Oryctolagus cuniculus: one gene and its partners. The protein of the gene in region 1 purifies or fractionates together with the protein of each later gene. This does not show direct contact. Links are inferred from orthologs where the notes say so. Each region holds a gene or a part of one and is shown in the gene's direction. Other genes may lie near its edges. The genes, in order: ANAPC15, ANAPC2, CDC26, ANAPC1, CDC27, ANAPC7 and ANAPC4.

Region 1 (4,222 bases):
TTATTGTTTATCTCTTATTGGAATGACAACTGGATGAAGAGAGGGACTTTTTTGTTCAGTATTATATATCCACTACTTAAAATAGTGATGGATATATACCAAGTCACTCAGTAGGTATCTGCTGAATCAATGACTAAACTGAAAAGGTGAATATTTCCAAGAGGCACATTTTAAATATTTAATGAAAAATATTTTAACAAACTCCTATCACATTTGATATACACAGTACACTATCTCTTTCTTAAAAGATTTGCTAATTCAAAAGGCAAAATGATAGCAAGAAAAATGGGAAGGGCAGAGAACAAAAAGAGAGGGGAGAGAGAAAATCTTCCATCTGCTGCTTCACTCCTCAAAATGGCCACCAGGCTGAAGCCAGGAGACAGGAACTACATCCAGGTGTCTGACACGAGTACTTGGGCCATCATCCAGTGCTTCCCAGGCACACTAGCAGGGAGCTGGATGGGAAGGGGTGCAGCCGGGACTCCGACGGGCACTGATACAGGATGCAAGTGTCTCAGGCAGTGGCAGACTCCCTGCACCACAGTGACCCAGCCTACATTACCTCTTGAACAGAAAATCTTCACGTTAGCAAAGGGTCACAGGAAGGCTGGAAAGAGAAGGAACTGAGTCTAGGCAGAGGAAAAGGACTTTGCCAAAGGTCACGCATTGGCTGGACAGCACTGGAGCTGCGGATGACTGCTGGCTCTGAAAGAGGCTGGTAGGAGGTGCAGCTCCGTGGGAGCTGGCTTAGAAGGACCTCTTGCAAGAAGGCATGAGGATGCTGAAAGGGAGGCTGAGCCTGAGGCCTATAGAACGGAGGCATAAGCAGATGAGCTAGAGATGAGAGGCTGCAGGGGACATGCCCCAGGCCTGAGAAGGGCCGTTCCCCAGCGGTACAATGCTGTGCTTGAGGTTGACTAATCTCTCAAACCTGCACATAATCTCCAGTGTCAGAATGGGGCAGGCGACCTAAGACAGACTTTAGTCTGGAGCCGATGGCTTGCCCACCGGATTGCGAGGGCGTTGGGGGAAGCGAGCATGTTCGCAGATTCATCCCCAGCTTCTAGCAGAGCCTGGAACACCGGGGATACACAAAAGAATGAATGGACTCAAGCAGGAAACCGAGGCTGAGAAAGGACGGGCAGGAGGGAAATCAAATCATCCCGCGATTTTGAGGTAGAAGCACATCAAATTCTCTGGGACGCACCACGACAAACCAGCTTTCGTACGAACACAGCTTGCTGCCCGCTGTTCAACAAGGGGTTCGCGAGCAATTATTGCCTGGGGCAGAGGGGCGGGACTAAAAGCAGCCGTTGGGGCGGGGCCAACCTGGAGAGGTCAAATGGCTGGGATTCGAGGCGGGGCCAAAAGGTAGGCGCGGCAAGTGTCCTTCTCCAACTAGTACGTGACTGAGGTGTGTACTACGTCACATCCGGCCGACGGCGGTAGCGGGAAACAAAAGGAGCCGAAGAACGCATGCGTTTGGTGGGTCCCGGATTCTGGCGGGTCCTTCCGCTCAGGCGGGGTGAAGCGCTTCCGGGTCGCCGCCGGCTGCCGCTTCCCGGCGCGGTAAGTACAGAAGCGAGGCTGTGGCCGGCTCCTTGCCCGTTCTTCCTTTCTTCCCCCCGAGAAACTCAGTTCTTTAACCCTCTTCCTCAGGAGCTCCATGTCCAGACTCCTTTACCCTTATAGAGCTCCAGCTCATTGGCCGCTTCCTCGAGGCTAAGCCCCACCCCATTACTCAGGTCCGTCCATTCATTGGTGTCACTTCCTGTCACCCAACATTTCTTTCAGTTAATTGGCTCTACCCAGACCCCGCTCCTTTCTCGGTTAGCAACCCTATATGGGCAAACTCCTGTCCGAGTCCCGCCCCCGCCTTCCTCCTGTTGGTCAACCTTACGGTTATTATCATCTTAAGCAAAGAAGGGGCGGTGGCTTCGCGGTGGAGGGTTGGGCTTTCGGGGCCAAAATCTCTGGCCTGTCAGTTCTGAGCGCGAGGGTGGACTGTACCTACTACACGGGCTGGGGAGCTGAGGCCTAGGGAGGGGCGGCGGCTGGCCCTGGGTCGATCAGATCAGGGCAAGAGCAGGACTACACATCGACCCTTTCCCCCTGCTCTTCTCCCTCGGTGTCTGGCCTGACCCCCTCCGCGCGTTCGTTCTAAGCCCTGACTCACTGTGTGACCTAAAGCCAGTCTCTGCCTGCCACTGGGTCTCAGTTTTCCCGTTTGTTTGTGGAGAGGTTTGAGTTCAAGATTCTCTGGGGCATTCCCAGTTAGCTTTGTCAGCTACGTAATCAAAGCTGATTTTCCTTGTTCTTTTACGTATTCAGCCATGCAGTCTTCTGTCTACCTATTCACTTACCCATGCCTTGTGGAACAGCTTACTGCACCCTGCTTGCCCGGGGTAACCCACGCTCCCTCCTTCCCCCCTCCCACCAATTTGACTGTGGTCAGTGACAGAAGTGGTTAGTGTCCTAAATTTCTGAAACCGGGTGGGTGTGGCATGTACTCTCGGTTTGAATGCTCAGAAGTGGTGATTATTTCAGTAAATCCCTGCTAGTTTGCTATAATTTCATAATGCCAAGGTGCCTTCTGGGTTCCTGTTTCTACACTTGGCGCCCATTCTCTTGCCTGCTTGAACAGCCTACAGATAGCAGTACTTGATTATCGCAGTAACTTTGAGGGTGATAAAATTGTTACTATCCCCATTTTACAGATGAGGAAACTGAGGCCCAGAGAGGTTAAGTGACTTGGCCAAGGTCAAACAGCTAGTAAGTGGTGGAGCCAGGACTGAAACCCAGGTCTGTCTGATTCCTAGAGGAAAGTAGCTGCCCTTCCTTGCTACTTTCTACACCACCCCATCCCTGAATCAAATTACTCCCAAATAAGAATCAAGCCAAGACAAACGACATTCACCTGACGTTCTCCCTCAGTCCAGGAGCCATGTCCACCTTGTTCCCTTCCCTCTTCCCTCGTGTGACTGAGACACTGTGGTTTAATCTGGATCGACCCTGTGTGGAGGAGACAGAGCTGCAGCAGCAGGAACAGCAGCATCAGGCGTGGGTGAGTGAGGATCTAGCCCAGCAGTCAGAGCCCCCCACCCCCTCAGTGGGCCTCAAGGCAGACCTTCCCTGCAGGAACTTTTTGCCCTGAGCTGAGAATAGTCAGGCTGGGAGCCAGGGGGCCAAGGTTCTTGTCTTTGTGGTAACCTGATTGTTGGGAGGACCATGGGACTTCTGGGCCAGATTGGAACCCAGGCTCCTGACAGTCATCCCTAACTCTCTTCCCTAAGGCTTAGGAAATAACACGTTTGATAGTTATTGCAGACCTAGCAGGAGGCGTGTTCACCCTCACTATAGTTATAGGAGGAAAGAAAGACCCAGAGTGCTGAAGTAGCAGATCAACCTCATAGAAAAGGGGCAGATGACAGGAGGGAGAGGCCTGCATCTTCCGAGAACCGGGAGGAAGCTTCTCCCCCACACTTGAACGTCTTTTCTGGGGCAGAGTGGGTCAGTCCCATGCCTCTGACCTGCCCTGCTTGCACCCTGGTCCTGCTCTGCCCCTCTGGCCTCCAGCTCCAAAGCATTGCAGAGAAAGACAACAATCTGGTACCTATCGGCAAGCCAGCCTCAGAGGTGAGTGGCCCCGGCACGAGAGACCTGAGTGGGCCTGGGGTGGACCAAGGCTCTGTTCTAATTCTGAATGTCCTGCCTCTGACCCAGAGCAGTTGTGATTCTCAGCTCTGGATGGAGACAGAAAGGGGAACTAGAGGGATGGGCCTTGGGCCTAGCACTGTGGTTTTGCAAAACAGGTGCTAACCTTAAAGGGGTAATGTTGGCGAGTATGAGGGTCATTCTGGCCCCAGAAAGCGGCTTCAAGTGGGCCAGCTCTTGAACGGGTCCAGGCTGGCCTGTAGGGTCTACAGGTGCTCCCCTGCCCCACCCCCCAGCACTATGATGATGAGGAAGAAGAAGATGATGAAGACGATGAGGACAGTGAAGAAGACTCAGAGGATGATGAGGACATGCAGGACATGGACGAGATGAATGACTACAACGAGTCACCTGATGATGGAGAGGTCAATGAGGTAGGCAGGTGTGTTGGGAAGGGCCTCTGTTCCTGGGCCCCTACCCCTGACCTCACTGATGGCCAAGGGGTACAGAAACCCTGGATCCAGCCAGGGGCACGATCTGGGGCTGAGGCTGGCTGAGGCTCCTCCCC
Region 2 (3,500 bases), about 170 Mb from region 1:
CTGCACCAGGTGACGCGGGAGCGCATGGAGGACCGCTGCAGGGGCGAGTACGAGCGCTCCTTCCTGCGCGAGTTCCACAAGGTGACCTCCCCGCCACGCTGGCGCCAGGGGCGGGGTGCAGGCCGGCGGCAGTGTGGACGGGGGGTGAGGGGCCGGGGGCGGGGTGCAGGCCGGCGGCAGTGTGGACGGGGGGTGAGGGGCCAGGGGCGGGGTGCAGGCCGGCGGCAGTGTGGACGGGGGGGGGGGGGACGGGGGCGGGGTGCAGGCCGGCGGCAGTGTGGACGGGGGGTGAGGGGCCAGGGGCGGGGTGCAGGCCGGCGGCAGTGTGGACGGGGGGATGAGGGGCCGGGGGCGGGGTGCAGGCCGGCCGGCAGCATGGACCGGGGGGGGGGGGATGAGGGGCCAGGGGCGGGGTGCAGGCCGGCCGGCAGTGTGGACCGGGGGGTGAGGGGACGGGGGGGTGAGGGGACGGGGGGGTGAGGGGATGGGGGGGACTGGGGGAGTCAGGGGACTGGGGGGGTGAGGGGGGTGAGGGGACTGGTGGGATGGGGGTACTGGGGGAGAGGGGACTGGGGAGGTGAGGGGCCGGGGGGGTGAGGGGACGGGGGGGATGGGGAGGACTGGGGGGGTGAGGGGACGGGGGGGTGAGGGGATGGGGGGGACTGGGGGAGTCAGGGGACTGGGGGGGTGAGGGGGGTGAGGGGACTGGTGGGATGGGGGTACTGGGGGAGAGGGGACTGGGGAGGTGAGGGGCCGGGGGGGTGAGGGGATGGGGAGGATGGGGGGGGACTGGGGGAGTCAGGGGACTGGGGGTTGAGGGGACGGGGGGGATGGGGAGGACTGGGGGGGTGAGGGGCCGGGGGGGTGAGGGGACGGGGGGGTGAGGGGATGGGGGGGACTGGGGGAGTCAGGGGACTGGGGGGGTGAGGGGGGTGAGGGGACTGGTGGGATGGGGGTACTGGGAGAGAGGGGACTGGGGAGGTGAGGGGCCGGGGGGGTGAGGGGATGGGGAGGATGGGGGGGGACTGGGGGAGTCAGGGGACTGGGGGTGAGGGGACTGGGGGGGTGAGGGGACGGGGGTATGGGAGGGGACTGGGGGGGTGAGGGGATGGGGGGGACTGGGGAGGTGAGGGGACTGGGGGCCGTGTGCTGCACCCGTACAGCAGAGGGCTGGGGCTGAGGCGGTGTCTGGGCGAGTGGGCCCATGGGGGGCTGTGGATACGCAGGCACTCACGGTCGTCACCACGGCTGAGTCTGTGGCCCCTGCCTGCCAGGGACCTGCCGGGCCCTGATGCGCAGCAGGGTGTGAGGCGTAACAGGTGCTGGGGGCGGGGCCCACCCTGCAGGGGCGAGGTGGGCCTGCCGAGGCCTGACCAGCAGGGTGGGCAGCCTCTGGGTTGGCTGGGGCTCACTGCCACTCACGCGTGGGGGCTCTCCGACAGTGGATCGAGAGGGTGGTCGGCTGGCTGGGCAAGGTGTTCCTGCAGGACGGCCCTGCCCGGCCCGCGTCCCCGGAGGCCGGCAACACGCTGCGGCGCTGGCGCTGCCACGTGCAGAGGTTCTTCTACCGCACCTACGCCAGCCTGCGCATCGAGGAGCTCTTCAGCATCGTGCGGGGTGGGTGCTGCCCCCACCCACGTCCTGGCCACACCCCGCCGGCTCGCTGTCCCCTGCCCCTTCGGCCTGGTGGGCAGTGACCCCGCGGGGTTGCTGTGCTGAGACGCCGCCCGTGCGAGCGTCAAGGGTGCCGTCCCCAGAGCGCCCGCAGCCCGTGTGTCCTCGCCGCGTGCGCCTTCCCGGCCTGCCCGTGTGTGCGTGTGCGTGTGCGTGTGCGTGCGTGTGCATGGCCCTGAGGTGGCCCCTTCCCGCAGATTTCCCAGACTCCCGGCCGGCCATCGAGGACCTCAAGTACTGCCTGGAGAGGACGGACCAGAGGCAGCAGCTGCTCGTGTCGCTCAAAGCTGCGCTGGAGGCCCGGCTCCTCCACCCAGGTGCCCTCAGCCCCGGCGCAGCCCCTGGGCCGGGCGCGCTCCTGGAGGAAGGCAGGGCCCAGCTGGTCTGGCCTGGGGTGGGGGCTCCTCAGAACAGGCTGCCTGGTCCGTGGAAGCCTCTGGAGAAAGTGCCTGTGAGAAGGTGGAAGTGGGGGTGGGGTCAGCTCCCTGTGGTCCCCTAGGGAGACAGGTCCCGGGGGAGACCCGTAGGCTGCCCACTTGGGTGTTGGCACCGGCACCTGGGGGCTGCTGTCCAGGACTCTGAGTGACCGCGCCCCCACCCCCGCAGGCGTCAACACGTGTGACATCATCACTCTCTACATCTCGGCCATCAAGGCGCTGCGTGTGCTGGACCCCTCCATGGTCATCCTGGAGGTGGCTTGTGAGCCCATCCGCCGCTACCTGAGGTGAGGCCCCGCACCAGGGAGCCGGCCTCCCGGCCTTCTCACGCCGGGCACCTCGGGGCTCCTATCCCCCCCACTGTCCCTGTGTCCTGCAGCGACCCGGCCCCCCACGGTCCCAGTGTCCCCCTACAGTGACTCGGCCCCCCCACTGTCCCAGTGTCCTGTGGTGACGCGGCCCCCCACTGTCCCAGTGTCCTGCAGCGACCTGGGCCCCCCACTGTCCCTGTGTCCTGCAGTGACCCGGGCCCCCCTCCACTGTCCCTGTGTCCTGCAGTGACCCGGGCCCCCCTCCACTGTCCCTGTGTCCTGCAGTGACCCGGGCCCCCCTCCACTGTCCCTGTGTCCTGCAGAGACCCGGGCCCCCCACTGTCCCTGTGTCCTGCAGAGACCCGGGCCCCCACTGTCCCTGTGTCCTGCAGAGACCCGGGCCCCCCACTGTCCCAGTGTCCTGCAGCGACCCGGGCTCCCCACTGTCCCTGTGTCCTGCAGCGACCCGGGCCCCCCACTGTCCCTGTGTCCTGCAGCGACCTGGCCCCCACACTGTCCCTGTGTCCTGCAGAGACCCGGGCTCCCCACTGTCCCTGTGTCCTGCAGAGACCCGGGCCCCCCACTGTCCCTGTGTCCTGCAGAGACCCGGGCTCCCCACTGTCCCTGTGTCCTGCAGCGACCCGGGCCCCCCACTGTCCCTGTGTCCTGCAGCGACCTGGCCCCCACACTGTCCCTGTGTCCTGTGGTGACCTGGCCCCCCACAGTCCCAGTGTCCCCCTGCAGCGACCCGGCCCCCACACTGTCCCTGTGTCCTGTGGTGACGCGGCCCCCCACTGTCCCAGTGTCCCCCTGCAGCGACCCGGCCCCCACACTGTCCCTGTGTCCTGTGGTGACGCGGCCCCCCACTGTCCCAGTGTCCCCCTGCAGTGACCCGGCCCCCCACTGTCCCTGTGTCCTGTGGTGACGCGGCCCCCCACTGTCCCAGTGTCCCCCTGCAGTGACCCGGCCCCCCACTGTCCCTGTGTCCTGCAGTGACCCGGCCCCCCCCACTGTCCCTGTCTCCTGTGGTGACCTGGCCCCCCACTGTCCCTGTGTCCTGCAGCAACCTGGGCCCCCC
Region 3 (4,233 bases), about 150 Mb from region 1:
GGGAGACCAGGAGAAGCACCTGGCTCCTGCCTTCAGATCAGCGTGGTGCGCTGGCCGCAGCGGCCATTGGAGGGTGAACCAACGGCAAAGGAAGACCTTTCTCTCTGTCTCTCTCTCTCACTGTCCACTCTGGCTGTCCAAAAAAAAAAAAAAAAAAAAATTCTGTAAAAAAAAAAAAAAGGCTCCTGGATGATGCTAGGTAGTGTAAGCAAAATATGAGTCTATAGATTCAAGTTTAAAAATTGAAAACTTGTAACATAAAACTACAGCTATCTAAGCTGAGGAAGGCACGCATTACAGAAAACTGGAGGTAAAGGTAAAGATGGACTGAAATCTGTCATCTTACCGGAGGTTATATTAATATTTCCTGCTTCAATTCCTGCTTTAAGTCCTTCTTTTCCCAAAATCCCAGATTCTCCTTTGGCCAGCCGCTCCCTTTCCTTCTCTTCCAGACTTCCATAATAAATGTGTGGCTTCTTCACCACCGGAGCCACCAGGTCATCAGGCGCTTTCGTTTTGGTGGCCTGCTAGACCGAAGGCTTCGATTAATTCAAGGCTCGATCTTAGCAATCCACGAGGCTTCCCTAAAGGGTGAAGTTCATCCTGACCTCCCCCAACAAAAGGCCAAACTGGGCGCCAGGGAAGATGCGCTTCACGGACCCGCGGGTGTGGGGATGGGGGCGGGAGGGCACGTCAGCCCTTCAATCACTTCCAGTTTGACAGCTTGAAGAGGTGGATTAAACCCGGTTCTCCGGGTGGTTCTGCCTCTGGAAGACGATCACTTCATTCTGTTGGAAGTGCAAGCTCTTTTTGGGTTTCGTGATACTTCCAGGGTTACCGTTTAACACGGGGGGAAACACCAAGGGTAAGGTAAAAGAACCGGCGTGGTGCCGAGGGAGGGGTAGCCAGTGACAACGCTCCTGCTCGGTCCATCTCAAGCGTTTTGAGACCTGTGGTAGCAGAGCAGGAGCCGGGAGGCCTCATCCCAATTCCGAGGTCTCCTATAGACAGCCACCGTGGCCAAGACACTCGCCCACTCCGGAGCCCTGGTTTGGACCAGTCGGAAGTGGTGTTTGCCGTTCGGGGCTGCGGTGGGACAGGTGCATACGAGTAACAGCACATACACTCGCTCAAGGGTCCGGGGAATGCTGCTCTGCTCTGGAGGGCAGGACCGAGTCCGGCAGCCCTCCACCCTGTCAGCCCGCTCCCTAACGGACCCTTCCCCGAGGGACCCCCACCCTCTCGGCGCTCCCTGCCGCAGTGAACTGAGATCCCGAGCTCCGTACCGTGGAGGACGCTCGTGACGAAGCCATGCTGGGCTCCGCAGCAGCCAAGCCCCAGAAAAAGCCAAGCTCTCCGTTTCAGACCATCCACCGCGCGCCCAGCAAAGCGGAACTACGTCACGGACCGGAAGTGAAGTCGGGCGCCGACGCAGCGCCCTGAGCGGCGCGGAGCATCATGGGAGTCGTAGTAGTTACTATTCTGGTCGCGTGGAGGGGCATGACCCTTAGAACCTCCGAGAAAAGCTCGCGGGAGACGAGGTTCTGGAGGGGAGAGGGGCGCGAAGCACTCTGGGAAGTGTAGTCCAGTTGGGCTCGCAGTAGATTCGTGGTGGGAGCTGAGGTTCCTTCCGGGAAGGGGCTGAGCGGGCTTGGAGAGAGAGGAAGGTGAGTCAAGTCGCGCGGCCGGGCGCTGAACTCTGGAGCTTACCGAGGGCTCCTAGAGACTTTACGTCGTCCCGGGGCGGAGGCCCATGTTGCCATGGAAACCATCGCCCGGACCGCTGAGTGTGGTCCTGGGGCTGGGCGAGGAGGGTTGTCGGGGTGGGGGTGGGGAGGAAAGTCCTCCCGGGGCCGGGGGCTCCGGCCGAGCTGGCTCAGTTTGCGGTGGATTTGGGCAGCGGTGAGAGATGAAGCTCAAAGAGCCCTCTAGCGTCTAAGTGAAGTAAAGAGCGGGCGAAGCTTCGGCCCGGTTTTGCTGTTGCTTTTGTTTCGTCTTCAGCCGGGTCTTTGTGTCAGACTGAGTGAGATGATGGCTAGGAAGGCGTCGGGTAGACCGCAGCCGACTCTCCTGCATAGCCCTGTGCTCCTCTGGGTGCGGGGGCATCAGCGATGAACAAGGCATGTAGTGGGTGGGAGACTCAAAATGTTCGTGTTTGCAGAGCTGGAACACCCCCCTCCCCCATCGTTATCTCTTCCGCCCCCCGCCCCCAACAACTGCAGTCATAAGTGCCTGTTATTTATTGAGCGTTTACTGAATACCACAGTTGTGTAGCCAGGAGCTTAATCGGCATTACGCCATTCAATTCAGACAGCAACAGAGTATAGAGGCAAGGAAGGTCTGGTGCGAGACAAAGATCGGAAACTTAAAGGGATCGGAGCCAGCACTTCAGCCGGGTCTCTACCCTGCTTCCTAGTGGTGGTGGTGGGCTTTTCGTTTTCGCAGAAAAGTTAAAATGCATAGCGATCTTCTCAGTATCCCTTCCTCACCCCATTTGGAACTTCGTTTTCCTCTGCTGCTTGTCGGCATTGGAATCTGGTGGACAGTATCAGATTTAAGTCAAAGCAAATTGAAATGTAATGTTTTGTCCTGGAAGAGGGGCAACCGGGACAGAATCCGGCGCCCCGACCGGGACTAGAACCCGGTGTGCCGGTGCCGCAAGGTGGAGGATTAGCCTAGTGAGCCGCAAAAAAAAAAAAAAAAAAAAAAAAAAGTAATGTTTTGTGTTACCACTGCGTGTCTGTCTCAGGCTTCATGGGAGGAGGAGGAAATGTTTCTTCTTTTATGCACTTCTCAGTCCCCGGTTTCATCCTGGGTACAGCCAGTGGCGTTCATTTACATCAGTCTCATTTAATCCTCACCCCACGGTCCTATGTGTGACTCCTACAGGAGGCCAGACTGGACAGCTTGCTTTGACTTCTTTCTCTGTAAAATAGGACGATCTTGCCAGCCTCACAGGGTTTTCGTATTAAAATAAGCAAGTGAAGAATGGTGATGGAAAAATTAGCCCAGTGCTCACTCAAGTTCATTTTACTTTAGTTGTTTCCTATATTCAGGGAACGTTTACTGACTGCCTAATGTACATACACAGACTCTGTTGGGTGCCATGAAGGTGCCCCTCAACAGATACTAAACGTGATGGGGAGTTCTGTTTGCTCAAAGAAAGGGTTTTTGTTAAAAGTATTGTCTTGACTCAGACTGTTCTCTTGAGCTTCTTTGTGCACTTGTTCTCTCTGCCTGCTCTTTAGATGTCGACTAAGACTCCATTTAGACATCATTTCCTGCCATAGGCCGTGTTTAACATCCCTGGCCACCACCCCACACCTAGTCCAGCTTTCGGGCCAGCATGGCTGCCATTGTATTCTCATCAGTGTTCTTGCTCCCCTCGCTGTTAATTTTCCCCTCACGTGTCTGTTTCTCCCACAGGTTGTGTCTGTACCTTTTAATTTTGTAGCCGGAGCACAAGAAGTCTTTGCTAATGAATGATCTGTCTGGTTGATTGAGACACTGAAGAGAATCTTGTGAATTGGTGAGTTCAGTTTTGCCTAGAATTTTCTTATAGGCAGCTTGCTGGTGTTCAGTTTTTTCAGAAAGAGGTTTTTGAATCACCGCGTTGTGGATCTCCATCATGAAATACAAATGTAAGAAGCATACACCTAAAGCCTTAAGAAATCTATGTGTGGGGCTGGCATTGTGGCACGGAAGGTAAACCACATCTTGCAATATGGCATCCCATATCAGAGTCTTGGCTGCTCTGCTTCCAGTCCAGCTCCCTTCTAATGTGCCTGGGAAAGCACCAGATAATGGCCGGTGTGTGTGAACCCCTGCCACCCACTTGGGAAACAACAATGGAACTCCTGACTCCTGGCTTTGGCCCGGCTCATCCAGAGACACTGTGGCCATGGGAGTAGTGAACTATGGTGGATGAGAGATCTCTGTCTCTCTGTGCCTCTCCATCTCTTTGTCACTCTGCCTTTCAAAAAAAGAAAGAGATCTATGTGTGAATCCAAGTTTGATTTTGCTATTGCCTTCACTTTAGTGTACATGTGTAGAAATTGGCCTTATGTATGTAACTGCAACGTATCACCTCCAGTTTTTCTCTGTGTCATTTTTAATAGCTCATAGTTGATTGGATCTGCTCTCAGTGTAGATTTCAGTATGCTGCGACGGAAACCCACGCGCTTGGAGCTCAAGCTTGATGACATTGAAGAGTTTGAGAGCATTCGAAAGGAC
Region 4 (2,799 bases), on another chromosome or scaffold:
TCTTAAGTTTTTACCTCAAGAAGCTAGAAAAAGAAAAGGAAAGTAAACCCAAAGTAAGCAAGTACGAGCAGAGTTTTTGAAACTGAAAAACACTAGGGCCAAGTCAGTGAAACGAAAACCTGGCAGGCGAGGGAAAGCCATTGGAGGGGAGATGGGAACCACTGTGCTTGCCCTTCTTAATAGGCTGTTAAAGGATCTCTTCTCGTCTCCTTTAATTTCTCTTCTTCTACTGCTCCCCCAAATCCCAAGTGTTTCTTTTTCTTTTTTTCCTTTCTTCTTTTTCTTTTCTTTTCTTTTTTTTTTTTTTAAGATTTACTTATTTATTTGAAAATCGGCTACACACAGAGAGATCTTTCATCCACTAGTTCACTCCCCAAATAACTGTAACAGCCAGGGCTGGGCTGATCCAAAGCCAGGAGCTTCTTCCAGGTCTCCCTCATGAGTGCAGGGAGGGGCCCATGGACTTGAACCATCCTCTGCTGCTTTCTCAGGCCATAGCAGAGAATTGGATTGGAAGTGGAGCAGCCAGGGCTCAAACCATGGCCATATGGGATGCCAGCACTACAGGCGGTGGCTTTACCTGCTACCCCACAGTGCCCCCCCCCCCCCAAAGTGTTTCTACCTCCCAGGAGACTAACTTCCTCACAGTTGTGTTCAGTGGACTTTACAGCTCACTCCATCTACCATGTTGAGGTTTCCCTCAGCTGATCACTGTGTCAGGGAAATGAGATTGCCTTGATTGCCTACAGCAGTGGTTCTCAGTGGTTCCTGGTTCGGCAGCAACATCGCAGGGGGACTTGCTTTAGAAATGCAGTGTTTCTAGTCCCACCCCAGAGCTAGTGAGTCAGAAATTGTGGGGTTGGGGCCTGCCTGTGTGTTCCTAAGTCCTCTCAGTGGCTCTGGTGGACAGTGAAGTTTGAGATCTAGTCTTGGAGCTGAGGTCAGCCCCTCAAATGTCACACAGTGGAGGGAAGGGTGGTAACAAGTTGTCTGGGAGATCACCACAGTGACTGCTACCTCTTGATGACACTCAGCATTTGTAGTTACACATTTGTTTGTGTCCTTATTTATGTCATCTTTCTCTCCTCCAGAACAGGCCAGACTCTGCAGTAACAGGTACTTAGTCTAGTTTGCTGCAGTAGCCTCAATACACAGCATAGTACCTGGTTGATATATGACAAGTGCTCAGAAATTCTTGATGGAAGAGTAATAAGATTCAGGTATCCCTGGGCCTCTTGTTCCGCTGTCAGTTGCTTCCATTGAATTTGTGTTTCTTCCACAGCCGGGGGTGACATGTGTGTGCACGCCTACCTCAGTGGGCAGCCCTTCGAGGAATCTCAGCTGAGCATGCTGGCCTGCTTCCTCGTCTACCACTCGGTGCCTGCTCCGCGCCACCTGCCGTCTGTGGCACTAGAAGGTACTTGCATAACTAAAGCTTCTTTTCAGGACCTCCATTACCAACAGCCTTAGGTTTTTACTTTCTTGGTAGGAAAAGTTTCCATTGAGTTATGTTCTCTAGCTCGTCATTAATGATTCATTGGCATCGATGAGAGTTTTTTCTGGAAAAAAAGAACCTGTCAACTTTACACATGTGTAAACTTTCATTTATAGTCACCCAAGGATGGATTCTTCATGGAACCCCAAACACTGGTCTGCACCATTAGACTAGATGTTCATATTATCCTCTGTTAATCCATTTTTTAAAAGATTTATGGATTTATTTGAAAGGCAGAGTTACAGAGAGATGGGGAGAGAGAGAGAGAGCTTCCATCTGGTGATTCACTCCCCAGATAGCGGCAATATCCAGGAGCCTGGAACTCCATCCGTGTCTCCTAGGCACGTTAGCATGGAGCTGGATCAGAAGTAGAATAACTAGGACTCAAACCCGTGCTCATATGGGGTCCCAGCATCGCATCACAGGCAGGTGTAACCCACTGTGCCACAGTGCTGGCACTTATTCCTTTTTAAACTAAACTTCAATTTTCAATTTTTTTTTCTTTGTAAGATCCTGTCTTTATTTATTTTATTTGCAAGATAGAGACAGACAAAAAGAGCTCCTATGTGCTGGTTTACTCCCCAAATGCCCTCAGTAAAGCCAGGAGCCTGGAACTCAATCCAGGTCCCCCATGTGGGTGGTAGGAACCCAGTCAACTTGAGCCATTACTGCTGTATCGCAGGTCTGCATTAGTGGGAAGCGGAAGTCAGGAATCAGAGCAGGAATTGAATCCAGTCACTCTGATGTGGGATGTGAATGTCATAAGTGGCATCTAAGCTGCTAGCCAAATGCCCATCCTGACTTTACCATATATATCTGTGTGTGTGTGTGTGTGTGTGTGTGTGAAATCTTAAATCCTAAAATTATAAAGCTTTAAATGAACAAGTGCTTAATATTGTATGTGTTTGACTTTTTTCATAAGAGGATTTAAAAATTAATAATGTTGGCCGGTGCTGCGGCTCACTTGGCTAATCCTCTGCCTGTGGCGCCAGCACCCTGGGTTCTAGACCCGGTTGGGGCACTGGATTCTGTCCCGGTTGCTCCTCTTCCAGGCCAGCTCCCTGCTGTGGCCCGGGAGTGCAGTGGAGGATGGCCCAGGTCCTTGGGCCCTGCACCCCATGGGAGACCAGGAGAAGCACCTGGCTCCTGGCTTCGGATCAGTGAAGCACACCGGCCTTAGCGGCCACTTGGGGGGCAAACCAAAGGAAAAGGAAGACCTTTCTCTCTGTCTCTCTCACTGTCTAACTGCCTGTCAAAAAAAAAAAATAATAATAATGTTAGCATTTAGCTGTTTTTTAGAATAC
Region 5 (2,608 bases), on another chromosome or scaffold:
CTCCACCTTGCGGCGCCGGCACACCGGGTTCTAGTCCCGGTTGGGGCGCCGGATTCTGTCCCGGTTGCCCCTCTTCCAGGCCAGCTCTCTGCTATGGCCAGGGAGTGCAGTGGAGGATGGCCCAGGTGCTTGGGCCCTGCACCCCATGGGAGACCAGGAAAAGCACCTGGATCCTGGCTCCTGCCATCGGATCAGCGCGGTGCGCCGGCTGCAGCGGCGGCCATTGGAGGGTGATCCAACGGCAAAGGAAGACCTTTCTCTCTGTCTCTCTCTCTCTCACTGTCCACTCTGCCTGTCAAAAAAAAAAAAAAAAAAAAAAAGATGTGGCGTTGGGACCCCACATTCCATATCAGAGTGCCTACGCTTGAGTCCTGGCTCTGCTGATGGCACCTTCCAAGTAATGTGCACTCTGGGAGGTAGCAGATGATGAGCAAGTCCTTGGATCCCTGCCACATACACAGAAGACCTGAATTCGGTTCCTGGCCCAGCCCTAGAGATTGTGGGCGTTTTGGGCAATGACCAGTGACTAGGACCTCTGTCTCTCTGTCATTCACTGTCTCCCTCTTTCCCTGCTTCTGAAATAAACCATGAAAAATTGTTTTAAAATTAACAAAAGGTAAGTTTATTTTGGTGCAAAAAAATTGAAATCTAGGCACAATTTTTCCATAAGACACATTCTCCATTAACTTTTTTAAAAAAGATTATATTTTACTTTGTTAGTTAAATTGGGTAGGTTGATACTTGAAGCCTAATGCTTACTCAAGGAGACCAGATGGAACTTCAGGCTACTTTATTCTGTAACTTAGTTTTCAAACCACTTTCACAACCTGATAAGGTGGTTGTTGTTTTTAAGTAGAATGGTGACAAAAGCAAGGATTGTCACCACCTTCATGTTTCACAAAAGAGGCTGTGTGTGGGGAGGGGGTTTTCAGTGTATTTTGATGGGTGCTTGCCATTTCTTAGTTTTTGTTGTAACTTAAATGTTTTTCATTTTGTTTTCACAAGAATTAATGAAGTATATTGATTAAGATAACACCAAGCTTTTGTTTTATGATTTAGAAAATTAATAAACATAATTGCTTAATCAAAATGTAAAATTTTGCTGCTCTAAAATTTTTCTTTGCCTTTTTCAGTCTGCTTTACAAGAACTTGAAGAATTGAAGCAAATTGTTCCCAAAGAATCCCTTGTTTACTTCTTAATAGGAAAGGTAAAGATTGAGGCCATGGTCCTAAACTGTGATTTTCATACCAAATATTAACTTTTGAAGAATAAACATAATACTTTAGTGTACAGTATCTATTGAGAAAATTCAGTGAGAGCTCTGAACTAAGTGCTCTGAAGATAATGGATTTAGTTCTGACATCTTAAGAAGATAATGTCCTAATGAAGGAGCAAGAATACATAACCCATAATCCTAATCCAAAATGGTATTGGAAGTAGATTAGCAATTTGCAGCCAAAGGCAAGTAATGAGGCTGTAACTGAGACTACCACATGGAAAGCACTTAGCTTCCAGTTCTCAGTAAAAACACTTAGAAATCCCCCAGAAGAAGACTGTTAATACCTCAATATTGTCTTGATTAGAAGAAATGGCTTCCAAGATTCCTATTTTATAGGCTGGGATCTCAGTGTCTAATTGATTTAACTGGTACAACTGTGGGCAGATATTGAGTTGATAGAAGTATATTTAAAGTCAGCGTGAATGTACTTTTTTTTTTTAATATATTATTTGAAAGGCAGAGAGAGAGAGAGAGATCGTCCATCTGTTGGCTCACTCTCCAAATGCCTGCACAACAGCCAGAGGTTAGGACAGGCTGAAACCAGAAGCCTGGAACTCAGTCCAGGTCTTCCGTGCGCTGGCAGGAACCCAGCTACATACACCGTCACCTGCTGCCTCCAAGAGGCTGTATTAGCAGGAAGCTGGAATCAGGAGCAGAACAGGGGCTTGAAGCCAGGCCTCATACACAGGTTCCCAGCTGCCGCCCAAGTGCCCGCCACACTGTGTGAACGACTGCTAATCGAGCAGCTTGGAGTCCATTTCTTCCCGTTGTCAGTGTTCAAGTCAGAGTGAGATTCTTGGAAACGCACACCTGAAAGGTAGTCAGGGAATTCTGAACGTGGTATCTGAGTGCGCTCAGAAGCAGCTCACAGCCAGCGTGAGTCCGTCTGTGGATTGTAAATGTCTTCCCTGTCTGAATGGGGTTAGCACATAAATCAAGAGTCCCATTGAAGCTTTAAATGTTTAGAATTTTATAGCTGAAGCTCACAACTTAATGAAAAATGTAGTATTGCTGTTTATTTTTAGGTTTACAAGAAATTAGGTCAGACACACCTCGCCCTGATGAATTTCTCTTGGGCTATGGATTTAGATCCTAAAGGAGCCAATAACCAGATTAAAGAGGCAATTGATAAACGCTATCTCCCAGATGACGAAGAGCCAATAACTCAAGAAGAACAGATCAGTGAGTATCATACATATGACTTTGAGTATTTGAAAGCTACTTTTTGCATAAAGATTTGTGGACTGCTTGTTTTTCTATCCATGGGGTTTTATTTTCTTTATACCAAGTGGAATTTTAGGTGACCAGGGTGAGGTAATAATCAGATG
Region 6 (3,500 bases), on another chromosome or scaffold:
TTAAAGCTTTCTTTATTTGAAAGATAGAGTGACAGATCCTTCATCCTCTGGTTTACCCCCCAAATACCTGCAACATCTAGGTCTGGGTAGGATGAAGCCAGGAGTCAGGAACTCCATCTGTTTCCAGTGTGGGTGGGAGGATCTCAAATACTTGGGCCATCTGCTGCCTCCCAGGTTGGACAGAGTAGTTGGGACTCCAACCCAGGCACTCCAGTATGAGATGTGCGTGACCGAAGGGGTGGCATAACCCGCTGCACCACAGTGCCTGGCATAATATATTGGGCATCAGTTTTTTTTTTTTTTAATCCATTTTAGAAGAACAGTGAGAATCTACTCATAGGTTCAAATTCATATCAATATTTAATACTCTAACATATACTCATATCTCCTGCCCTTCTTATTTTATTGAAAAACTGTTCTGTGGCGCTTGTGCTTAGCAATAAGGAATTTTCCAGGTAAGATGTTTGTGTTCATCCTCCTGCCCTTACAAGGCAAGGAATCTAAGCAAGGGGGATCTGGGGCATTTTAGTTACTGCTGCTTTATTCAAGTGTTGCTGAATTTTAAAAATAGCAGAACTTCTTGAGAACTGTGTTTTTAGACTTCCTTGTATTAAGGAATTATTTACTATTTTCTAAGTTTTTAAAATTTAAGTTATTTCTTCCATCTAATTTATGAAGGTTACTGCTAATAAAAATACTTGGAACTGTATTTGGGTCCTGTATAGTAAATTGTGTTGTTGTAACGTCTAAAAGTCTTTTCTTACCCTCAGAATTTTTGTGTCTGTTCCTATGCTCAAGATGTCTTCCTTTTGGAAGAAGCCATTTTGATAATTTTGAATGAACTGTTGCTTGTCTCACTAGAAATGTGCCATGGTTTCCTCAGTGACTTGCCAGCTTTGGAAGGACATTTTTAGAAAGTGGGTTACTGGCAAAGCAGCTCAGCTTTGTGGTACCCAGTTCTTAATGTCTACAGCCATCACTTCAGGAGGGGCTCGAGGAGTCTGTGTGTTAGGAGGGCAGATTCTTCTCTCAGTTGAACTCTTGTAGTCAGGAGCAAACAAAGATGTGTGCCTCAAACATAAACCTAAAATATTTACAGTTTTTCTTTCTTGTCTGTTAGGGAGTTAACTGGCTTCTCAGTCTGTGTAAAGGACAAGGAAGTGAGTCAAAAATACGTCTAATTGAACATCTGTTAATGTATGGTAAACACCGCCACACATTCCCTCATAAGTTAAAGGAAAATTCCAGTGTTAAGATTATTGTATCTTGGTAAATTTTCAAGAGTAAACGTACAATGTCTCACTTAGTTTTTGGAAAATGATGACTGCTTGAGTTTATAGCTGGTGAAATGTGGCTTTATGATGGTCCCAGATAACAATTACCTTTTAAGAAAATTGATTTTTTCACTAAGTAGTACTCAGAACTCATTCTTTCAGTGATGGTCAAGTAGCTTAAAGGAAATTCTGATGTTCAAACATCCGGTCCATCTGTCATAGCTTTTTAATAACAAGTAGTCAAGAAACGATCTTAAATTCAACTTTTTTTTTTTTTTTAATATTGACACCGATACTGGAGTTTTCCTTTAAGTACCTTCCTTTGCATTTTCAAAATAGCCTAAAATGGAAAATCTGAGGCCAAGTGAAAATCTTCTGTTTCTAGTATTTCATTACTTTACTGTTTGAATTAGTGTGGATTAGTTCTGTACTGGATTGTTTAATCTAATGCAGGTCTCTGATGAGAAGAGATGTTCTTAATCCTCAGAGTGTTTACCCCTTGAGGAAATGTCTGGCATGCAGAACCACAGATAACTGAAGAGATTGCGGTTGACTTTTTTTTTCTTTTGTGCCCTCATGTTGACTGCTTCCTTCAGTTAATGATCTGCCAAACACTTTCTATATTTAAGATCTATTAATTTAAAATTGGAACATTGTCTTCTCTTTGCACTAGTGAGATCATTTATCCCTTCTCTGTAACTTCTACATTCTTTGGAACTTTGAGATTTCCTCAAATTCTTCCTGCTGTGGTTTTTACAGAGAATTAGCATTGATATAGTTTTACTAAATATGTATCTGTCTATTTTTGTAAGTATGTATTTATTTGAAAGGCAGAGTGACAGAGAAAAAGACTAAGAATGAGAGAGAAACAGACTGATCTTCCATCTGCTGGTTCACTCCTCAAGTGGCTGCCAGTCAGACCTGGGCCATGCCAAGGCCAGGAGCTAGGAGCTCCATCTGGTCTCCCACATGGGTGGAGACCCAAGCACTTGGACTGTGTGAGCTGCTAGCCTCACAAGTCGTAGTTGAACCTGCTGCACCACAATGCTGGCCCCAAAGTTATCTACTTAAATTGTGCCAAAAAACAGATGTCTGCACTCTGGATTTAAATCATATATCTAATCATGGATCGCCTCTGGAGGTCAGTTTGAATCTGGTTTTTATAGTGTTACTTTGGTGAGTCAGATAGTACCCACATGTCAGAGCTTTAAGTGTTAGGGTAGAGTCCAGCCATTGGTCTCATTGTCAGGGAGAAGCCAAGTATCACACCTCTCTATCTGTCATTTCCTCTGGGGAGAATGTGTCTGATTCTTCTTAACTAGCTATGTTAACAGGTCCTCATTTTCTTATCCCTTAATAGTAATTCAATTTAAAATGTACAGAATTTAGCAGTTTGGGGTAGTTCATCCTCTATCTTAAGATCAAAAAAGAATCATGGTAACTAGAATTCTAGGACATTCCTCAAATGAATGCAGTTCTTGTTTCCAGAGGCAGCATCTTTGGCCAGGGTAATACTGGGCCTCTTGGTTAGGTAAGTGAGAGGGTAATGAGACTTTCCTCTTAGAGATGGGAGTACCTAGGAAAAGAAAGTGTAGTAGTTTCTTCTTCATTTTGATGAATGGGCTTGTTCTTTGTTTATTTGTAGAAGGCTGTGGTAGGTTGTCCAGTAAAAAAAACAGTAGAGTATCTGGTAGTAAAAAACAGGACTTTTTCATGGCACTATGCATGTAACTTGCTGTCCTTTATTTTATTTTTTTATACAGATAAACATGATGCTGGCAAATTTGTACAAGAAGGCTGGTCAGGAGCGCCCTTCAGTCACCAGCTATAAGGAGGTGCTGCGGCAGTGCCCTTTAGCCCTGGATGCCATTCTAGGTATAGATCATTCTCTACCTGCGTTCATGGAGGGCCTGATGTGCAGGCTAGTAGTTCTCCATCTTGGCCATATCGTTACATAGCTTTATTTATTTTTTTAATTTTGATTTGTTTCTTAAAAGTTTACCTTATTTGAGAGAGAGCGAGCTGCCATCCACTGGTTCACTCCCTAAAATGCCTGGGAGCTGGAAACTCAATCCACACATCTCACGGGGGAGGCGGGGACCCAGCTACTTGAACCATCCGCTGCTGTCTCCCATGTTGTGCAGAGGCAGAAAGCGGAAATCAGAGTGGAGCCAGGACTCAAGTCCAGGATATGGACACCCAAGGCAGCTCTTTAACCCCTGTGCC
Region 7 (3,500 bases), on another chromosome or scaffold:
GCATCTGGAAGGAGGAGCTACAGTGAATCGTGGCCATGTTGTTCATTCTCAGAAGTCAAGAGAGTCTTTTTAAGGGCTGTCGTTGAAAACTGATTAGCTGGCAGAGCAACATTTTGACAGTCAGTGTGCATGAAACATACTATCCCAGAGCCGGGGCTGTGGCGTAGCTGGTAAAGTCGCCGCCTGTAGTGCCCGCATCCCATACACCTGCTGGTTTGAGTCCCGGCTACTCCACTTCCAATCCCACTCTCTGCTATGGCCTGGGAAAGCTTAGGATATTTGTTTTACCAGGCACGAACCTAATTTAAGAATGTTTTATTGTGAAAGCTGAAAGAATCATCATGTGCTTTAAAGTTAAGTAATTAGGAAATGTTATCTATCATCTTCTCTTCTTAGGCTTAACTGAGTTAAAAGCGTAATTGAAAGTAAATTCTGGATTTCTCTGAAACATTTGACAATAAGAAGCACATATTGTCTAGTGAGCGTGCTAGTTTAAATGTTTTTCATTGACACTCTTTTAACAGTATATAAATTTGTCGCTGACGTGTATGTGTGAAGCATGGGAAGAGATCCTCATGCAGATGGATTCTCGTCTCACTAAGTTTGTGCAGGTAATGCCCGTTAAGTTTCTATGGGAGAGTTAGAGTGCTTAGGGCGTCTGGCCCGGGGTGAGACACACACAGCAGTGCCTGGATTTGGTGCCCGCCTCCAGCTCCTGACTCAGCTTCCTGCTAACGTGGACCTGGGAGGCAGCACCAATGGCTCATATAGTTGGGTTCCTGGCTCCTGGCTTTGTTCTTAACCCAGCCCCAGCCGTTGCAGACATGTTAGTGGCTAGGAGCTTGCTCTCTCTGTTTGCCTCTCAAATAAATAAATATGTAAAGGCATTCATGGCATCTGTGTTCACTTTATGCAATACATGAGAAAAATTGCTTTGATTTGCAAACAGCTAAGCTCGTTAGTTTTTTTCAGATGGCTTGGTCTGACCTCACTGCTTTCTCAGAGCTTTGCCGAAAGGGCTCTGTATTAGTCATTCTGCCACCGCTGTAACAGAATGCCTGAGGCTGAGTAATGTCTAGAGAGAAGAGGTCTGCGTCGCCCTCAGTTTTGCAGGCTGAGTCCAAGATTGGACAGCCCCATTGCTTCCGCCTCTGTCAGGGGAGGCTCGTGGCAGCCAGCGTCACAGCTGCAGCGTGTGCCAGAGGGATTCTGCAGTGGGACTGGGAGCGCGGGCGTCAGGCGTCCCCTTCCGTCAGACTCAGGCCTGGGGGAGCTAAACACAGTCCCACGAGCGTTACCTTAGTCCCTTCAGGGGGCCGTGCCCTGGCAGCCCTGGCAGCCCCCTAGCCACCTCCCACTAGGCCTCACATCTTAGAGTCCACCCCTCAGCACTGCCGTCCGGAGCACCGAGCCTGTGCACAGGAGCCCACTGATGTGGCCGAGGTAGGGTGAGGGGATGAGGACGGTATTGGAGAAGCCAGCTGGCTGTCTCCTGGCACTAATGTCCACGTGGTCAGTTTCAGTTCTGAATCTGAGGCAAGTTGAGGTAGAGAGAGTCATGTTCCTCTAATTTGAAATAAATGTGCTTATAGTTGCAAAAACATGTATCACAGTTAACTGTTTTGTCTAGGAAAAGAACACGACCACATCAGTGCAGGATGAATTCATGCACCTGCTGCTGTGGGGGAAAGCAAGGTAATGAGCTCGGGTTGGGTGCTCTGCTTCCCCTCCTCCTGTTTGGTAAATGGAGATGATGCCAAAGAAACCTGTACGCACCGCTTCACACATAGAAAATTCTAGAACATTACCAAACAAAAGTATGTCTTTCAAGGCTTTCCTGTGTACTTTTAAAAATGTAAATGTGATCACACATTTTGTTTGTGTGTATTTTTTAATATATATGAAAGGTTAAACTTTTTATGTAGCCAAGCCAACCTTTCTTTATGGCACCTGCTGTTACTCTTAAAAAGACTTTCCTGTTGTAAGGGCTTTCAGAGGTTGATCTGTATTTTCTTCTGTTTTATTCCATTTACATAGTCTAGATTTACTTGGTTGTATGCCCTAGAAAGCTAACTTTTTTCCCCTAAGTATTCAGATAAATCTAGTTTGATTTATTGAGTCTGCTCACTTCTCCCTATGGTTTTGAAATGCTGTGTTAGCACAAGTGTATCCAATAGATTTCAATCTGTTTCTGAACTTTGTGTTGCCAGTTTTTCATCTGTTCCATTGTGAGTACAACAGTCTTAACTTTTTGTTAGGCTGTTTCTTTTTATTTCAAAATCTTGTTTGTACTATGAAATTCAAAAGTTTTAAATGATGGATTCAGATTTTGAATAGAGAAGTGATTAAGAATGCTTTCTTTTTCATTGTAGTGCTGAACTGCAGACTCTCTTAATGAACCAGTTAACAGTAAAGGTACAGTTTAAGTATCTACATATTTAATGGCTATGAACACACTAAATTTTGTTTTATTTTGAATGGCATGTGGTATCCAGGTTCAATGCTAAATATATTTTCTTCTCTTAATTAGGGCTTAAAAAAGCTTGGCCAGTCTATCGAATCATCATATTCCAGTATACAGAAGTTGGTTATAAGTCACTTACAGAGGTATGGAGGTGATGTAGAATTTCTTGGTATTGCACCCAGATGTACATGGCATTGGTCTTCCTGTGGCCTTCTCTTCATCATTTGGCAATGCTCTAGCCTTTTCCATCTAAAGTTACTACATTGGCATTTGAGGGGAATCTTGGGGAACCCAAGATTGAGAATCAGTTATAGTAATTCTGCTTTATGAAGTAATTTTTGAAGTCTTTTCATGAGTCTAGACCCCATCTGGGTCTTTTTCTCACTCAGGTGAGAATTGGAATTGGACATCAACCTTCGTGTGAGCAGTGAAGTTAAGTGTTTCCATGTATTTTACAGTTTCTAAAGCCTACTGTGTACTTTTTGATTTAACACCTTTGCGGGCTGTTTGTTAGGATTATCCTCATTTTCCACAGTGGAAACTGCAAACTTATATTTAGGATGTGTTATGTGGCTGGCCCAAAATTACTCAGTGTCAGAACTGGGATTTGGTCCTAGAACTTCAAGTCTCACGCTGTTTCCATGCACAGCAACTTGAGTGAAGCAGTTTGCAAGTGGGTGCTGAGTGTTCGGGTTAAATTTTGCAGAATCCCTGTATGCTTAGTACCTCTCCCTAGCCACATCTCATCTCCCGAGGATCAGCGAGCATCCTCTGGACTGCTGTTTTGCAGCCCACACTGAGTGCCTCGGGTGTAGGTTCCTGAGTGGATTTAATTGTGTTACTGTCTTACTCCAAGATCTTTGCATGGCCTGTAGCCTACCTAGCGCCCTGCTTTGCCTACGCTAGTGCCATTTAGTTTCCCAGACTCGATGTTTTGTCTCCCGCGCAGGGCCTTTGCCATCTCCTGCCTGGCACGCTCCACCCTGCTCTCCACTTACCCACTTCGGCCCTCAGCTCGGATCCATGTCCCCACTGT

What was found.
Region 2: the proteins of ANAPC15 (region 1) and ANAPC2 purify together in Homo sapiens (affinity purification with mass spectrometry; 4 studies listed by BioGRID and IntAct, with this or other methods). This does not show direct contact. The link is inferred for Oryctolagus cuniculus from reciprocal best matches to the Homo sapiens genes ANAPC15 and ANAPC2.
Region 3: the proteins of ANAPC15 (region 1) and CDC26 purify together in Homo sapiens (affinity purification with mass spectrometry; 3 studies listed by BioGRID and IntAct, with this or other methods). This does not show direct contact. The link is inferred for Oryctolagus cuniculus from reciprocal best matches to the Homo sapiens genes ANAPC15 and CDC26.
Region 4: the proteins of ANAPC15 (region 1) and ANAPC1 purify together in Homo sapiens (affinity purification with mass spectrometry; 3 studies listed by BioGRID and IntAct, with this or other methods). This does not show direct contact. The link is inferred for Oryctolagus cuniculus from reciprocal best matches to the Homo sapiens genes ANAPC15 and ANAPC1.
Region 5: the proteins of ANAPC15 (region 1) and CDC27 purify together in Homo sapiens (affinity purification with mass spectrometry; 3 studies listed by BioGRID and IntAct, with this or other methods). This does not show direct contact. The link is inferred for Oryctolagus cuniculus from reciprocal best matches to the Homo sapiens genes ANAPC15 and CDC27.
Region 6: the proteins of ANAPC15 (region 1) and ANAPC7 purify together in Homo sapiens (affinity purification with mass spectrometry; 3 studies listed by BioGRID and IntAct, with this or other methods). This does not show direct contact. The link is inferred for Oryctolagus cuniculus from reciprocal best matches to the Homo sapiens genes ANAPC15 and ANAPC7.
Region 7: the proteins of ANAPC15 (region 1) and ANAPC4 purify together in Homo sapiens (affinity purification with mass spectrometry; 10 studies listed by BioGRID and IntAct, with this or other methods). This does not show direct contact. The link is inferred for Oryctolagus cuniculus from reciprocal best matches to the Homo sapiens genes ANAPC15 and ANAPC4.

What each region holds. Positions count from the first base shown.
Region 1 is NC_091432.1:63,593,510-63,597,731, reverse strand, and holds the start of ANAPC15 (anaphase-promoting complex subunit 15), read left to right. Parts: upstream 1-1,422; 5' UTR 1,423-1,569; intron 1,570-1,659; exon of another isoform or gene 1,660-1,745; intron 1,746-1,792; exon of another isoform or gene 1,793-1,901; intron 1,902-2,717; exon of another isoform or gene 2,718-2,802; intron 2,803-2,934; 5' UTR 2,935-2,944; coding exon 2,945-3,064; intron 3,065-3,576; coding exon 3,577-3,636; intron 3,637-3,950; coding exon 3,951-4,096; intron 4,097-4,222. UniProt on the Homo sapiens protein: Component of the anaphase promoting complex/cyclosome (APC/C), a cell cycle-regulated E3 ubiquitin ligase that controls progression through mitosis and the G1 phase of the cell cycle.
Region 2 is NC_091432.1:237,477,511-237,481,010, reverse strand, and holds part of ANAPC2 (anaphase-promoting complex subunit 2), read left to right. Parts: coding exon 1-81; intron 82-1,442; coding exon 1,443-1,617; intron 1,618-1,871; coding exon 1,872-1,991; intron 1,992-2,280; coding exon 2,281-2,398; intron 2,399-3,500. UniProt on the Homo sapiens protein: Together with the RING-H2 protein ANAPC11, constitutes the catalytic component of the anaphase promoting complex/cyclosome (APC/C), a cell cycle-regulated E3 ubiquitin ligase that controls progression through mitosis and the G1 phase of the cell cycle.
Region 3 is NC_091432.1:216,878,127-216,882,359, reverse strand, and holds the start of CDC26 (anaphase-promoting complex subunit CDC26), read left to right. Parts: upstream 1-1,433; 5' UTR 1,434-1,667; exon of another isoform or gene 1,668-2,120; intron 2,121-3,426; 5' UTR 3,427-3,529; intron 3,530-4,118; 5' UTR 4,119-4,158; coding exon 4,159-4,233. UniProt on the Homo sapiens protein: Component of the anaphase promoting complex/cyclosome (APC/C), a cell cycle-regulated E3 ubiquitin ligase that controls progression through mitosis and the G1 phase of the cell cycle.
Region 4 is NC_091433.1:113,013,416-113,016,214, reverse strand, and holds part of ANAPC1 (anaphase-promoting complex subunit 1), read left to right. Parts: intron 1-1,282; coding exon 1,283-1,417; intron 1,418-2,799. UniProt on the Homo sapiens protein: Component of the anaphase promoting complex/cyclosome (APC/C), a cell cycle-regulated E3 ubiquitin ligase that controls progression through mitosis and the G1 phase of the cell cycle.
Region 5 is NC_091448.1:17,014,162-17,016,769, forward strand, and holds part of CDC27 (cell division cycle protein 27 homolog), read left to right. Parts: intron 1-1,133; coding exon 1,134-1,208; intron 1,209-2,286; exon of another isoform or gene 2,287-2,305; coding exon 2,306-2,462; intron 2,463-2,608. UniProt on the Homo sapiens protein: Component of the anaphase promoting complex/cyclosome (APC/C), a cell cycle-regulated E3 ubiquitin ligase that controls progression through mitosis and the G1 phase of the cell cycle.
Region 6 is NC_091452.1:8,069,590-8,073,089, reverse strand, and holds part of ANAPC7 (anaphase-promoting complex subunit 7), read left to right. Parts: intron 1-1,120; coding exon of another isoform or gene 1,121-1,160; intron 1,161-3,037; coding exon 3,038-3,149; intron 3,150-3,500. UniProt on the Homo sapiens protein: Component of the anaphase promoting complex/cyclosome (APC/C), a cell cycle-regulated E3 ubiquitin ligase that controls progression through mitosis and the G1 phase of the cell cycle.
Region 7 is NC_091433.1:20,500,248-20,503,747, forward strand, and holds part of ANAPC4 (anaphase-promoting complex subunit 4), read left to right. Parts: intron 1-524; coding exon 525-611; intron 612-1,630; coding exon 1,631-1,695; intron 1,696-2,372; coding exon 2,373-2,415; intron 2,416-2,530; coding exon 2,531-2,607; intron 2,608-3,500. UniProt on the Homo sapiens protein: Component of the anaphase promoting complex/cyclosome (APC/C), a cell cycle-regulated E3 ubiquitin ligase that controls progression through mitosis and the G1 phase of the cell cycle.